Linked DNA regions of Oryctolagus cuniculus. The protein of the gene in region 1 interacts with the protein of each later gene in a pairwise test. Links are inferred from orthologs where the notes say so. Each region holds a gene or a part of one and is shown on either strand. Other genes may lie near its edges.

Region 1 (7,656 bases):
AACTCTGCCTTTCAGTAAATAAATAAATCTTTAAAAAAAAGAAAATAGCAAGTGTTGGCAAGAATGTGGAGAAACTGTAACACTTGTGCATTGCTGCTGGGAATGCGAATGGTACAGCTGCTGTGGAAACTGGCATAGCATGTCCTCAAAAACAAGAATTAAACATAATTACCTTATGTTTCAGCAATTCTACTTACGAGTATATACACAAAAGAAATCAAAGCAGGGCCTCCAGTAGACATCGGTATGCCCGTATTTATAGCAGCACTATTCACAATAGCTATGGTGGAGACAATGGTGTCCACTGATGGTGAAGAAATAGAGAAATTTAATGCACACATGCAGCGAAATTCTGCACATCTTAAAAAGAAAGGAAATTCTGACAGCACGCTACCACATGGATGAACCCTGAAGACTTTATACTAAGTGAAACAAGCCAGTCACAAAGGGAAAAATAGGGGCCGGTGCCGTGGCGCAGTAGGTTAATCCTCCGCCTGCAGTGCCGGCATCCCCCCAGCTGCTCCTCTTCTAGTCCAGCTCTCTGCTGTGGCCCGGGAAGGCAGTGGAGGATGGCCCAAGTGCTTGGGCCCCTGCACCTGCATGGGAGACCAGGAGGAAGCACTTGGCTCCTGGCTTCAGATAGGTGCAGCTCTGGCTGTTGCAGCCACCTGGGGAGTGAACCAGAGGATGGAAGACCTTTCTCTCTGTCTCTCCCTCTCACTGCTGTAACTCTCTCAAATAAATAAATAAAAATCTTTTTTTAAAAAAAGGAAAAATATTGTATGATTCTAATTATATGAGGTATTTAGAGTTGTCAAATTCAGATTCAGAAACTAGAATGGTGGTTCCCAAAGGCGGCAGGAAGGGAGAATGGGGACTTGGGGCTCAGTAGGTGAGCAGTTTCAGTGTTGGAAAATGAACAGCATTTTGGAGAGTGATGGTGGTGATGGCTGCACAACAGTATGAATGTTCTTAATGTTAGAGAACTGCACACTTGAAAATGGCTAGGATGATAAATTTTTAAAACATTTGTTAATTTGAAAGGCAGATTTATTTGATAGATAATAGATAAATAGACTGATGGATCAATCGATCATCCATATGCTAGTTCACTCCCTAAATGGAGGCAACGACCAGGGCTGGCCCAGGCTGAAGCTAGGAGACCAGAGCTCCACCCAAGTCTCCCACATGGGTAGCAGGGACCCAAACACTTGGGCCATCCTCTGCTGGCTTCCCAGGTACATTAGCAGTGAGCTGGATTGGAAGTGGAGCAGCCAGGATTTGAACTGGTGCTCCAACATGAGATGCCAGCATTGCCGGCGGCAGCTTAGCTCACTGAACCAAAATAATGGCCCAAGATGGTAAATTTTCCTATGTATATTTTAACATAATAAAAAGTCTACCATCCATATAGAAAAAGATAGAAAAACATATAATATAGCAAGAAATAGACAAAAAAAAAACCATAAGAGGACAGAAGTTCAAAACATCAATCATGACAATAAATGTCAATGAGTTAAAATCGCTGTAGACGCTGTTGGAGAAAAGATCTCAATTTTCTGTTGTCAACAACAGAGATTATGAAAATGCAACAGTCGAGCAAAATATTTTATGTACCATTTCAAATATGAAGAATAACCATATATGGGGTGGGTGTTGTGGTATAGTGGGTTAAGCCACTGCTTAGGACATCCTCAACCCATCTGGAGTACCTGGTTCAAGTTCTGGCTACTTTGCCTTTCCAATCCAGCTTCCTGCTAATGCACTTGGGAGGCAGTGGACGATGGTTCAAGAATCATCCCATGTGGGAGCTCCAGAAGGAATTCCTAGCTCCTGGCTTTGGGCTGGCTAATCCCAGCTGTTGCAGGCATTTGGGGAGTGAACCAGCAAATGAAGATCTTTGTCTCTCTGCCTTTCAAATAAACAAATAAATCCTTTATAAAAAAATCATATAAAGCATAAATTACTGAGTAGAAAAAGAAGCTGGCAAGAATACAATGGTCCTAGGAGGTAGGTCTTAACACATCCCTTTTCAGTCCTTGACAGATCAAGTAGGTACAGCATTATGAAAATAGATGGACAATTTTACTATATGTTCCAAGAAAATGTGAAACATCACAGCGAAGAGAACCTTAAGCATTCTATATCCTCTGACCACAGAGCAAAACAGTAAGAAAACATTATGAACATAATAACTCCAACTACTTGGGGATTTTAAAAATAATAATAAAACAACAACAACAAAGACCCTCAAAGACAAGCAAGTGTAAAGAAAATAATAGTACACAAAACAGAAATCAGAATGATATAGAAAAATTACTCTGCTACACCAATACTTAAGCAATTTCAAATCTGGTTGAGAGATGACATTTCAAAGGAAAATCAGACATTTCAACAAGAGATGTCATTTCAGAAGAAAATCAATTAGAAAAATTGACTCAAAAAAAAAGTAAGAATATTTTAAGCAAAACCACTACAGAAACCATTATAAAACTGTTCCCCAAACTGCCTCTTAGACAATATGGGTCTCAGTTTACTGATGATTCTTTTCAACTTCTAGGGAATACACAGTTCCCATAAAATTTTTTATAGGGCACCAAAGAAACACAGAAAACACTCCTGGGTCCACATATCCAGACTTTATAAATCAAAACATTTGTCATGTTTTGTTGCTCTTCTTTTGTTGAAAAGGGCAACAGACAAAATGCTACTCATAAAGTTGAATTCTCCTGACTTCCATTTCCTTTCAACCTAATCCTTCTTCTGCCTAAGGAAATACAACTGTCCCGGCTATGGGTCCTCAAGGCCCTGAGATAAAGCTGGCATTTATAATTGGTGGGGACAAGACAAAGATGAGCAAGCCTGGGAGAGAAAACACTCAGGAGCTCAGAGAAGATAAGGAAAAGATAAGGAAATTAAATATTTTTTAAAACCATAAAAAGAGTCAGAAGATGGAGATAACCATTCATCTGAATTTGTGTATGTGAGTGCCACAAGCCAAAGGTGGTAAAAACTTCAGATAACAATTTTAAACTTCAAAATTAGAAAAAAGTTTCAAAATATAGAATGAGCCAAGAACTGGGATAGGAACCCATAAAAGAAATACAAATGGCTAATAAACAAAATGACCACAACTTTAGTTACCAAAACATGCAAATTAAGCCTTAACAATGAGCTATCCCCCTCATCTACTCCACCCATAATTTGATAATCTGCCAAAGATAAGAAAAAGGTAGTGTTTTAGGGTGCTATGGGAAATCTGGCCCTCATCTATTAACAATGACATTATAATTTCATATGAAGATTTTCATCAAAATTTTAAAAATCATCCCCATTGACCCAGTGAGTTTGTATCTTAATTTATCTGAAGGAAACAAGGGAGGTATGCCAACCTTCTGTATGCCTCATTTACAAAAGGAAAAACTAAGCTAAAATATCTAGCAATTAGACATTGGCTAAATAAATTATAATATAGCCATGTAATGCAAGACCTTGCGGCCCTTAAAAAGAACCATAGAAGGGCCAGTGCTGTGGCGTAGTGGGTAAAGACACTGCCTGCAGTGCTAGCATCCCATATGGGGGCCAGTTCGAGTCCTGGCTGCTCCACTTTCAATCTAGCTCTCTGCTATGGCCTGGGAAAGCTTTAGAGGATGGCCCAAGTCCTTGGGCCTCTTCACCTTTGTGGGAGACCCAGAACAAGCTCCTGGCTCCTGGCTTCGGGTCGGCCGTTGCAGCCATCTAAGGAGTCAACCAGTCAATGGATGACCTCTCTCTCTCTCTCCCTGCCTCTGCCTCTCTGTAATTCTGTCTTTCAAATAAATAAATAAATAAATCTTAAAAAAAAAAAAAAAAAGAGAGAGAGAGAGAGACCCACAGACGAGTGGGCATTTGGCTTAGCAAGCGGGGCAGTGCTTAGGATACCTGCAATACTCCACACTGGAGTGGCTGAGTGGAAGTCCTGGATCCTCTCTTGACCCAAGCCTTCTGCTACTGTGCACCCTGGGAGGCAGCAAGGGATGGTTCAAGTGGTTGGGCCCCTGCCAGTCAGTTGGGAGGTCCAAGTGAATTCCAGGTTCCTGACTTCAGCTTTGCAGAGCCCTGACTGTTGCGGGCATTTTGTGAATGAACCAATGAATGGGAGAACTCTCTGTCTCTCTGCCTTTCAAATAAGTAAAATAAAATAAAACAAAAAAATTCTTAATTCCTGAAAAACGTTCATTATATATAGGCAAATGAAAAAAAAATCACAAAACATTCTTGGAGAAAAGGTTAGGAGTGATTAATTCTGGACAGCAAGATTGCATTTAATTTTTCTTTTCCATTTAGCCTTGTGTTATCGAACATTTTTTTTAAAAATTGAACATGTTATTTTTATAAACATAAAAGAGGAAATAATATACAAGCACTAAAACTTGGTATCCAGAGCAGAGGGTGTCGAGATGCTAGGGGAGTGAATAAAGTGGAAAGGGCACAGGGCACAGGACAGAACCCACACGAGATGGAACTGAGCCCTCTAATATTCTTTTGTCCTTGAAATCCCAAGACCTTAAGGAGTCATATTTGATGTGTGGTTGAGCTTGTTTCCTGTTCGCGCAGGGACCACGGCTCTCAGGTTTCCTTACTTCAAACACAAGCTCAAGCTCTGGACAGGTCACACTTCCTGAGCACCCCTGCGGCCAGAAGGAATTTTCAAGGATCCTCCTCTCTCCAGAGCATGACACAGCCCGTGTCACTACTCCTGGCTTTCTCTCTCCAGCTCCCTTGTACAGCCGCAGACCCAATACAAACACACACACACACACAGTCCCAGTTACCTGTCCCCCCAACACTTACCCCTCCAACCGGAGTCCAAAAGAGGGAGAGAGAGGTCTGTTGGCCAGGGTCAGAGGCGACAGTTTTTATATAATCCACTGCTCCCGCCAGGAGGCTGCAGTCTCCTCCCGGATTCCTGGGAAAAGGGGAGGGCAGTCACTTCCCTCTGGGGGAAGGCAGCCAACACGCAGTGTCTGTAGTGAAAACCACAGACAATAAAGAAGAGGGAAATGTTCTTTTAAAAGTCATACTTCCTCAGTTACGTTATTGGTTGGCAAGTGAAGCAGCTTGAGTTTTCTTGCAACAGTTTCCCATCAATTGCATTTTTGGGGAAAAGTATGCCACTGCGGCCAGTTCAATAAAAACACGACCTTTTGTTTTAAAATCACTGTCGGTTTCTGTTGCTACAACTGATTGTAGCACTTCGAATTTCACACACAGGCGTCTCTCAGTAATCCTCACAGCAAAATTAAAGGCAGCATTGTTAACATTTCCTAACACAGATGAGGACTTGCGAGGGTACTCAAAGTGTCTTTGGGGAATATGTTGAACTACTCTGAAGCCAGCAGCTACTAAGCCTCACTTACATGTGAAGAGGAAGGTGAAAGAAAAGTTGGTGGCTCCTGGGAAGGTCTACTTTGCTCTGGGCCTTCACAGTGTGGCTGATCTGATAAGGAAGAGGGTACTCCCAAGAGGAAATGTTTATGTGCCCTGTGCAGATAGCGGAAGCTTCCTCTCCCCAGACAATAGGTTTTAGCATAATTAAAGCACAGGCCAGAGGGACAGCTTAGAAGTTAAAATTCTTTGTGGCTTGGAATTCTTGGACCCAGAAGAAATCTCAGCGTGAGGTCTCCTTTCCCAAAAAAACCTTCCTGGACACCTACTTCTAAATTGTATTTGTGTTTTGAAAGGCAGGCAGAAAGGAAAAGAAACAGGACACAGGGGGGTCTTTCATCTCTGGGTTCACTCCCCAGATGCCTTCAAACAGCCGGGGTTGGGCCAGGTCCAAGGTGGGGATCCTGGAACTCAATCCAGGTATCCCGCATGGGGGCTAGGGACTTAAGTACTTGAACCATGACTCGTTATCTCCCTGGGTGTACAGCTACAGGAAGCTGGAAGCGGAGCAGGGGCTTGAACCCAGGCACTCTGATACGGGATGCAGGCGTCTCAAGCAGCATCCTGATTTCCAGATCCACCCTGGAAAGAAATCCAGTTCTGTTACCAGCTAGCTTGCCAGACTTGGCCCGCGATTTTCTCTAACTTCACCCAGGTCTTTCATCTCTGCGGTACTTCAAACCCCTCTCCCAATTTTTTCTCTGCTCATCCCATTCAAGTCAAAGACTCTGGGAAGGCTTGAGGCTTGAGAAAGCCACTCCACTGGCCTGTGACAACCCCAAGCCTAATACAATGCCTAGCGCACAGCAGGCCCTTGGTACCTCCTGAATGTACCGGGAGGGGTGGCAGGTTAATGGTTTCTTCAAAGCAAATTATGACAGCAATCCCAAAGGGGCACCCTGGAGTGATGGAGCTGATTTTGCCATCTTCTCTTTGAGATCCTAAACTGGATTTGGTCTATCCACAGGGAGCCTGAATCTTGAGGTCTCAGTCAATCCACATTCTGGATTGACAAGCATGCTCTTCCACTCATTCTGGAGGGAAAAATCTCAGTGGTCCTAAAAGACACAGAGGAACCCTCACTAATTAGAAACCTACAGAGTGGACTCCAGAAAGAGCTCACCAGAATATTTGGGCCTTTGCTTCCTTGGGACTCACTAGTGTCTGCTCTTCTCAACCTCTCCCCCTTGTCCCAAAAGCCAGGGAGATGCTGGAGCCATTTCTAATGGCCTTTGAAACACACTTGCCCCCTCCTCTCCTCTTGAATGAACTCCTTGCCAGCAGGCAAGGCAGCAGGGGTAATTAAGAATGTGGGACCTGACATATGAATAGTGGGAACTCCATCCAATATTACTACTTACTAGCTGTGACTCTGAGAATGTTACCTGGCATTGCTTGAATTCATTGCTTTCATCGACAGGGCAGGGATTAAAAAGCTACCTTATGGGGCTGGCGCTGTGGCACAGCAGGTTAACGTCCTGGTCTGAAGCGCTGGCATCCCATATGGGTGCCGGTTCGAGTCCCGGCTGCTCCACTTCCGATGCAGCTCTCTGCTATGGCCTGGGAAAGCTTTAGAAGATGGCCCAAGTCCTTGGGCCCCTGCACCTATGTGGGAGACCCAAAGGAAGCTCCTGCCTCCTGGCTTTGGATCGGTGCAGCTCCTGCCGTTGCAGCCAACTGGGGAGTGAGCTGTCAGATGGAAGACCCTCCTCCTCCCCGCCTCTCCTCTCTCTCTGTAACTCTGACCTCTGACTTTCAAATAAATTAATAAAAAAAAAAAAAAAAAGCTACCTTACAGCCTTGTGAGAATTCTCTGACATAACAATGAGAGGTAGTTAATATGGTGCCATGATGCTGGGAACTCAAGGCATGGTCTTGAAGACCATCCATGTTCCCCACCCCCTCCTCTTCCTCATCACCAGCAAACAGACCCAAACATACTTGTTACCATCTCTTAGAATCCAGCACCCAGAGGAAATGGCACTTGGTGGGTACTCAAAACATCTGGCAAATAAAGAAATGTGATTTTTCCCTGAAATAATCCTTGAAAGGCAACGGAAGATGTCCGAAGCTCAGGCTGTCACTGTTTCTCACTTGGTGTCACTTTATGACCTTTGCCTTCTAAGCTTATTAATGATTCTGCTCCTCTGCCTAACACTAACACTTCACTCCCTGTGACCAAAATAACACTCACTTCACTCTGCTGTTGCCCCAGGTCCTTAACCTTTA
Region 2 (7,691 bases), on another chromosome or scaffold:
CCCAGTCAGGGCGCCGGATTCTGTCCCGGTTGCCCCTCTTCCAGGCCAGCTCTCTGCTGTGGCCAGGGAGTGCAGTGGAGGATGGCCCAGGTGCTTGGGCCCTGCACCCCATGGGAGACCAGGAGAAGCACCTGGCTCCTGGCTCCTGCCATCGGATCAGCGCGGTGCGCCGGCCGCAGCGCGCAGGCCACGGCGGCCATTGGAGGGTGAACCAACGGCAAAGGAAGACCTTTCTCTCTGTCTCTCTCTCTCACTGTCCACTCTGCCTGTCAAAAAAAAAAAAAAAAAAAACTCCTTAGGTGTGACACTGATGTTGTGGCTGTTAGCCAAGGCTATTGGGTGGAGTCCAAGATACACTGTCAGACTGTTCCACTTTATGCAGACCATAAAAATTGAGAACATGATGTAACGGGAAAGCAATTACACATAAACAGGCTTTAATTTTTCAGGAACTGCGATATCGCTGCATAACTACACATCAGAACAGTTACCACTCCTCGTGTGCAGTGCCGAGCAGAGACGTGTTTTCTCACACTCACACTCACAGTACGAGGAGGCCAGCTCTCGAGCGCGACCGTCCCGGGCTGCGCACTGCGTTACCTCCGTGTCCGGGGCGAGGTGGTGCCCAGAGGCGCACTCAGCGGGGTCGGCGTAAGCAGCACGCTCTGGCTGTGACTGGTCTGCGGAAGTCAGAGCTGGAGCTTCAGCACGCTGGCACTGCTGAGCCGCGAGTTCCGTGACTTGACTGGGAAGACTGTCATCGTTATAATATGTCTGGTAATAATAATCTGCAGCAAAACAAGCCAAGCGGCGGATTAGGACGGTGCGCATAAAAAGGTCTCCATTCCACAACACTGGCACTGATGACACACACTGTCCACGATTTCTACAGTCTACACATTTGAAAGGGAAGAACTGGCGGTGCAGACTAACCCAGGGACGGACGCATCCGATTCTAACGTCCCCATTCACACCCACCTGTCACGCCGAAGAGGGAAAAAACACAGCACTTCTGGATTCCCCACACTAGCAGGAAGCAAATGGGCAAGAGCAACGCTTAACTTCTCGCCTCATACCCCATACTGCTGCTTATCAGTGACAGCAAAACAAAGCCAAGGTATTAGTGGCTGATTTTCTGGCAATCTGCTCACGAGGCTGACTCCCAAAGAATTTCTATCACACAGATACATAAGATAGTATTACTGCTGTCTGTGGAAATTCAGCTACATTGCTAAGTGATATGCATCTGAGTAAAACAAGACAGCGCTTAATGGGAAGATGACTACTTCTTGTAATCCACAACATTAAAACCCAGCAGCTCACTGGTCTTCCTCACAATTTAACGCCACTGCGAGGCCACGGTGGAGAGCTCACTGTTCAACAAGGGCCTAAGAGACTGTCACTGGACACGTGCCTCAGTGGACGCCCCAACAAGATAACACAGCCCTGTGGTCACAAGGCGGATACACAAGGACGTAGGTGACGCACAGCGAGGCAGAATCCCATAGCAAGCGTGCCAATGAGAACAAATCAGCCACGCCACGATGAGTGTGGCACTAAGGACACATGACCCACGCCAGTGAGAGTGCCAGTGAGCACACGTGAGACACATAGGGAGTGTGCCAGTGAGCACACGTGAGACCCATCAGGGAGTGTGCCAGTGAGCACACATGAGACCCATCAGGGAGTGTGCCAGTGAGCACACGTGAGACCCATCAGGGAGTGTGCCAGTGAGCACATGTGAGACACATAGGGAGTGTGCCAGTGAGCACACGTGACCCACGCCAGTGAGTGCCAGTGAGCACACGTGAGACACATCAGGGAGTGTGCCAGTGAGCACTTTGAGCCACGCCAGTGACAGTGCCAGTGAGGACAGGTGAGACACACAGGGAGTGTGCCAGTGAGCACACGTGAGACACATAGGGAGTGTGCCAGTGAGCACATGTGACCCACGCCAGTGAGAACACATGACCCACACCAGTGAGTGTGCCAGTGAGAACACATGACCCACACTAGTGAGTGTGTCAGTGAGCACACGTGAGACGCATCAGGGAGTGTGCCAGTGAGCACACGTGAGCCACGCCACAGGGAGTGTGGCCCTGAGCACACATCAGCCACGCCACAGGGAGTGTGGCCCTGAGCACACGTGAGCCACGCCACAGGGAGTGTGGCCCTGAGCACACATCAGCCACGCCACGGTGAGTGTGGCCCTGAGCACACGTGAGCCCCGGCCCAGGAGCTGCAGGAACAGAATGTATTTCTACTTTTCCCACAAGAACAGACTGCCGTGCAGACGCCACATCGCAGGGAGAGAAGTCGGCGCTCCACCGCCCGCTGTGCCCGCTGCGCCCCGCTGCGCCGACGGGCCGTGGAGAGCAGGAAGGGGTACCTGAGCGCGCCCAGGGAGCGCCGTCCTCGGTCTGCACCTCCACGTCAGCCTTCCCGCTGGCTCTGCTCCTCGCGCAGTGCAGCACCTTCCTGAGCTCCTCCACCTGAGAGAGAACAAGGCGTCAGGGCGCAGCACCGCCACCCCGCCCGGATGCGCCACTTTCCTGACACTGCAAGAGGTCACGTCTTTTTTAGAGAAGTGCTAAGAACAGCTGGCTTCCTATTCAGAAAAAACTAAAGATGGCATAACTTACTTCCTGTAACATTTACATGTAATCTGCATCGATCTTCTTAAGCTCTCTTGTTAAATGTCCGAAACCAAACCGGAAGAAATTAGGTAACAGGACTTCGCGGGCGGGATTCTTTATTTCTAACAAGAAAGTTTCAATGATAGTATTTCACAAGGTCACTAGTTCTCCTGAAACAGGAATTTCTGTTTGCAAGTGTCGTGACTATCAGTGTAGGAAGCAGCTCCAGCCGCTTCACTCGGGCTCCGGCAGGGCGCTCCCCAGACCGAGCCGAAGCCCCGGCGCTCAGCGAGCTAGAGAGCACGCGGGTTCGGGGCGGCTTCACAGACTCGGCCGGGACCAGAAAAAAATGAAGCAAAAGTTCCACCGCCACCAGGACGCCCGCCCGGAGAGGCGAGCAGGGTGGCGACTCGGGCGCCCTCCGCCCCAGCACGCCGCCCCCGCCCCCGCCCCCGGACACCCCCCGACGACCCCCAGCACGCCGTCCCCGCCCTCAGCACGCCGTCCCCGCCCTCAGCACGCCGCCCCCGCCCCCAGCACTGTCCCCGCCCCCAGGACGCCCCCCGACCCTGGAGCACACCGCCCCCGCCCCCAGCACGCCGCCTCCGCCCCAGCACACTGTCCCCGCCCCCAGGACGCCCCCCGACCCTGGAGCACACCGCCCCCGCCCCCAGCACACCGTCCCCGCCCCAGCACGCAGTCCCCGCCCCCGGAGCACGTCGTCCCCGCCCTCAGCACGCCGTCCCCGCCCCAGCACACTGTCCCCGCCCCAGCACACTGTCCCCGCCCCCAGCACACCGTCCCCGCCCCCAGGACGCCCCCCGACCCTGGAGCACGCCGCCCCCGCCCCCAGGACACCGTCCCCGCGCCCAGCACACTGTCCCCGCCCCCAGCACGCCGTCCCCGCCCCCAGCACGCCGTCCCCGCCCCCAGCACACTGTCCCCGCCCCCAGCACGCCGTCCCTGCCCCAGCACACCGCCCCCAGGACACTGTCCCCGCCCCAGCACGCCGTCCCCGCCCCCGGACACCCCCCGACGACCCCCAGCACGCCGTCCCCGCCCCCAGCACGCCGTCCCCGCCCCCAGCACGCCGTCCCCGCCCCAGCACACTGTCCCCGCCCCCAGCACGCCGTCCCCGCCCCCAGCACGCCGTCCCCGCCCCCAGCACACTGTCCCCGCCCCCAGCACGCCCCCGCCCCGCCGTGCACCTGCGCGCGGAGCTCCTGGTTGCTGGTCTCGGCGCTCTGGTACAGCCGCTCCGTGTGGTGCAGCAGCCGCTCCACCTCCCGCACCTGCCGCCGGCAGCTCCGCAGCTCGCGCTCCAGCTTCTCCACCTTCCGCCGCAGCTGCGCCAGCTCGGGCTCGGGCGAGGCCTCGGGCTCGGGCTCCGGCTCGGGCGAGGCGGGCGGCGGCGGCGAGGGCGACGGCGCCTCCGCCGCCATGGGCGCGACGGGCGGCGCTCAGGCCCGGGCCGGCGCCGGCGGGCCCAGGGGCCACGGGAGTGCGCGGGCGGCGGAGGGCGGCCTCGGCCCCGGCCGGACGCGCCGGGCCCCGGCCATGACGCGCGGACGCTCGCGGCCTGCGGCCGAACGGGGCGGCGGACGGCCCCTGTGCGATCTAGGCGGACCGGGACCCTGTACCGGAGACCCCGCGCCCCGGTCAGGGAGACGCGGGAGGAACGCGGGCGACGGAAGCGGCCGGAGAGCCCGAGCCCAGGCGCGCCGCGGCCGTCAGGCTCCGAGCCGGAAACGAAGCTCGGGGCGGGCCCGGAAGCTACGGCGAGCGGGAAGGGCCTGGCGGCGGGCGAACTCGCGCGTGCGCGGGGCGGGGCGTTCGGTCCGCGGGGCGGGGCTGCGCTCGAAAGGGCGGAGCTCTCGGCCGAGGGGCGGGGCTGCGGCGGGCGCGCTCCCGGGCTCCGTGGCCTCCTGGGCGAGCGCGGTTTCCTGCGCGCGCTGCGGGCCCTCGCCGCTCTCTTTCCAGGCCAGCGCCGCGCGACCTCGCAATCGCCGAGGCCGGGATCGCAGCGCCCACGACGCCAGCGTCCTCAGGGGTCCTGCGGGGCCTGGGCTCGGCGCTGTGGGGGTTGCAGGGCCCCCGGCCGGCGTGGCCCCTGGCGGCCCCCTCTGCCGTGGCCTCGCCGCGCCCCCGGCCCAGCGGAGGGAGGCCGGGCGGGCGGCCTGGCTTTGCGCGAACGAGGCGTGACTTGCGTGCACGCGGTAGATGACGTCTCCCGGTCCGGCCCGCACCGCGGACCCTGCCCTCGTGTCCCTTACCGGACCCCGGTCGAGGCTTCTGAGGGCGCCCCAGCTGCCGGCCCGGCCCGCACCCCGGGCTCGCAGGATCTCACGCGGGGCGGAGCATCTTTCCTCCGCTTGTTCTGGGGTTTGACCCCGGCCGGCGTTAGCGCCTTTCTGAGGTCCAGCCCCGGCGGCCAGCGCAGCGGAACCCGCCTCCCCCGCCTTCCGGCTCTGCGCACGCTCAGAGACAGGAGGACGCCTCCCGCTGCTCCCCTCAGCCCCCGGTTCCTGCGCTGGCCTCTCCGCACGCCACCTCGCGTGTCCCTGAAGCGGTGTGTGAGGCGACACCTGGGTAGCCCGTGGCCAGTGAGGGCCACGGCCGCCATCACACTGGGCAGTCTCCTGACGGCCCCAGTCTGTCCCGGGTCCGTGCCCACGGCTCCCCTCGCCGAGTTCCCCGTCCCCGGTCCGTGTCCACGGCCCCTCCCGCCGAGTTCCCCGTCCCCGGTCCGTGCCCACGGCCCCTCCCGTCTAGTTCCCTCTTCTGGTCCCGGGTCCGTGCCCACGGCCCCTCCCGCCGAGTTCCCTCTTTTGGGTCGGGGTCCACGTCCACGGCCCCTCCCGCCGAGTTCCCCGTCCCGGGTCCGTGCCCACGGCCCCTCTCGCCGAGTTCCCTCTTTTGGGTCGGGGTCCGGGTCCACGGCCCCTCCCGTCGAGTTCCCTGAGGGGAGGCGGCCCCCGGTTTGCGTGGCACTGCTTGCCGTCTGCATTTCTGCCCTGGCACTGAGAAGACACCCAGGCCAGGCTGCTGGTCTAGGACGATGACGGACACATGGTGCTCCAGGACCCCTCACTCCCCCACCCCACCTCACGTCAGCAACCCAGGGCAGTCAGCCCACGAAGCCCCCAGGCTCGCGGGAATGAGTAAGCGAGGGCTGTTTGAGGCCATACGGTGGTAGCGCACACTCAGCCTGACAAGCCACACGGAGCCTGTGGGGTTCCACACAGCTGACGACACCCCACAGGGCAAGAACGCCGTCCACTCAGAAACCCAGTATATGTCCAGTTGTGAAGAGTGTCATAAACTCCGTATTTAACAAGCATGCACCTGTGGTAATACACCGGTCCTCTGGGGAGCCGACCCTCCCCTCCCACGTACCAGCGGATGTCACGGGAATATCCGGAGAGCCACAGCCTCTCAACAGCTCTCACCGACGGCTCCATGTTACTTTTGGTCAACTGACCATTACCCTGTCCCCTGGAGGCCCAAGAGCGGGTGGACGTGGTGTTGCCACACCAGGGTACTAGAAAGGAGGCTGGAGGAGACGGGGTAAACCCCAGCCTGCACGCGTGCATTTGTGAGTTCACTTTGTGCGACTGTGCAGCTGGCTTTCAAAAATTACTATAAACCTTCTCCTCTGCTCTCCTCTCCTCTGCCCCGGGAAGGAGGGCGCTGACCCTCGAGGACGCTGGCTTCTCCACGGAACTAACTGTGGGTCCTCAGGATCCAGCATCAGCGACGTACACCAGACGGCACCTCCTCAGGGCGCCAGGAACGGCCCTTGTGAGCAAAGAGCCACCATCCACCGCGAGGGCTCCTGGAGGGGCCAGAAAGCAGGCAAACGGATGCAGGAGGAGGAAGCCAGCCAGGGCTGCTGGTTCCTATGGGATGCGTCCCTTTAAGTGTTTCCCTAGAGGGGTCAGCACTGTCGCCTAGCAGACCTGGCCACCTCCTGCAGTGCCAGCATCCCAAGTGGGTACCAGTTTGGGTCCTGGCTGTTCCACTTCCAATCTGGCTCCCCGCTAATGCACAGCACGCAGCAGAAGACGGCCCAAGTGCTTGGGCCCCTGCACCCACGTGGGAGACCTGGATGCAGCTCCAGGCTCCTGGTCTAGCCCTGGCTGCTGGGGCTTTGGGGAGCAAACCTGTGGATGGAAGATGCCTCTCCCTCTCTCTTTCTGCCTTTCAAATAAGCAAGTAATTTAAACATTCCTGACTGGAGCCAGCAGGTGGACGGTGGCAGGCACTCCAGGCCTGAGCCACCACTGCTGCCTCCCAGGGTCACGTCGGCAGGGGCTGGAATCAGAACTGGGGCCTGAGTCCAGGCACTCGGGTGTGGAACAGGCTAAACTGCACAGCAAGGCTTGCCCGTTAAAACGACTCTTTACAATTTACTTAAATTTACTTATTTGAGAGACACATAACAATTCTCACCTGCCGGTTCACCTCCCCAGTGCCTGCAAAACTGGGAGCCAGAAATGCAGTCGGGGGGGGGGGGGGGAGGACAGGACCCAGTCACCTGCACCTGCGCCGTCACCGAGCCTCCGGGTCTGCACCGGCAGGGAGCGGCGTCAGGCCCTCTATGTGGGCCACAGCATCTGAACGGCGAGGCTGCGTCTGGCCCTAAAATGACTTCCAGGTCGAGACAGATTGCCTGCACCTCATTTCGCTGCACACGTGCCGTGCGACGGGCAGGGTACTTGCGCACACCATGTTTCCAGCTTTCTCATCTGTCACGACACGTGTCATAGGTTGTGGGAAGAGGCAAGCCAATACCGCGGGCACAGTGCTCCTCGAGGGCCTGCGCAGGCACGCTGGCGGCAAGCGTTCTGCTGACCGTAGGTGTACGAGGCGCTCGCTCTGGGGCTGCACGGCTCTGAATTTTTTTTTTTTTTTTTTTTTTTTTTTTACTTATTTGACAGAGTTAGACAGTGAGAGAGAGAGAGAGAGAGAGAGAGAGAGAGAGAGAGAGAAAGGTCTTCCTTCCATTGGTTCACCCCCCAAATGGCCACTACAGCCGGCGCTGCGCCGATCCGA

The links. The genes of interacting proteins can lie anywhere in the genome.
Region 2: the proteins of MAB21L3 (region 1) and AGGF1 interact in binary tests that used the Homo sapiens proteins (3 or more experiments, as listed by UniProt). The two-hybrid records come from large-scale screens. The link is inferred for Oryctolagus cuniculus from reciprocal best matches to the Homo sapiens genes MAB21L3 and AGGF1.

The regions. Positions count from the first base shown.
Region 1 is NC_091438.1:54,354,622-54,362,277, forward strand, and holds the start of MAB21L3 (protein mab-21-like 3), read right to left. Parts: upstream 5,022-7,656; 5' UTR 4,834-5,021; intron 1-4,833.
Region 2 is NC_091445.1:1,340,084-1,347,774, reverse strand, and holds the start of AGGF1 (angiogenic factor with G patch and FHA domains 1), read right to left. Parts: upstream 4,400-7,691; 5' UTR 4,079-4,399; coding exon 3,845-4,078; intron 2,493-3,844; coding exon 2,390-2,492; intron 789-2,389; coding exon 601-788; intron 1-600. UniProt on the Homo sapiens protein: Promotes angiogenesis and the proliferation of endothelial cells. Able to bind to endothelial cells and promote cell proliferation, suggesting that it may act in an autocrine fashion.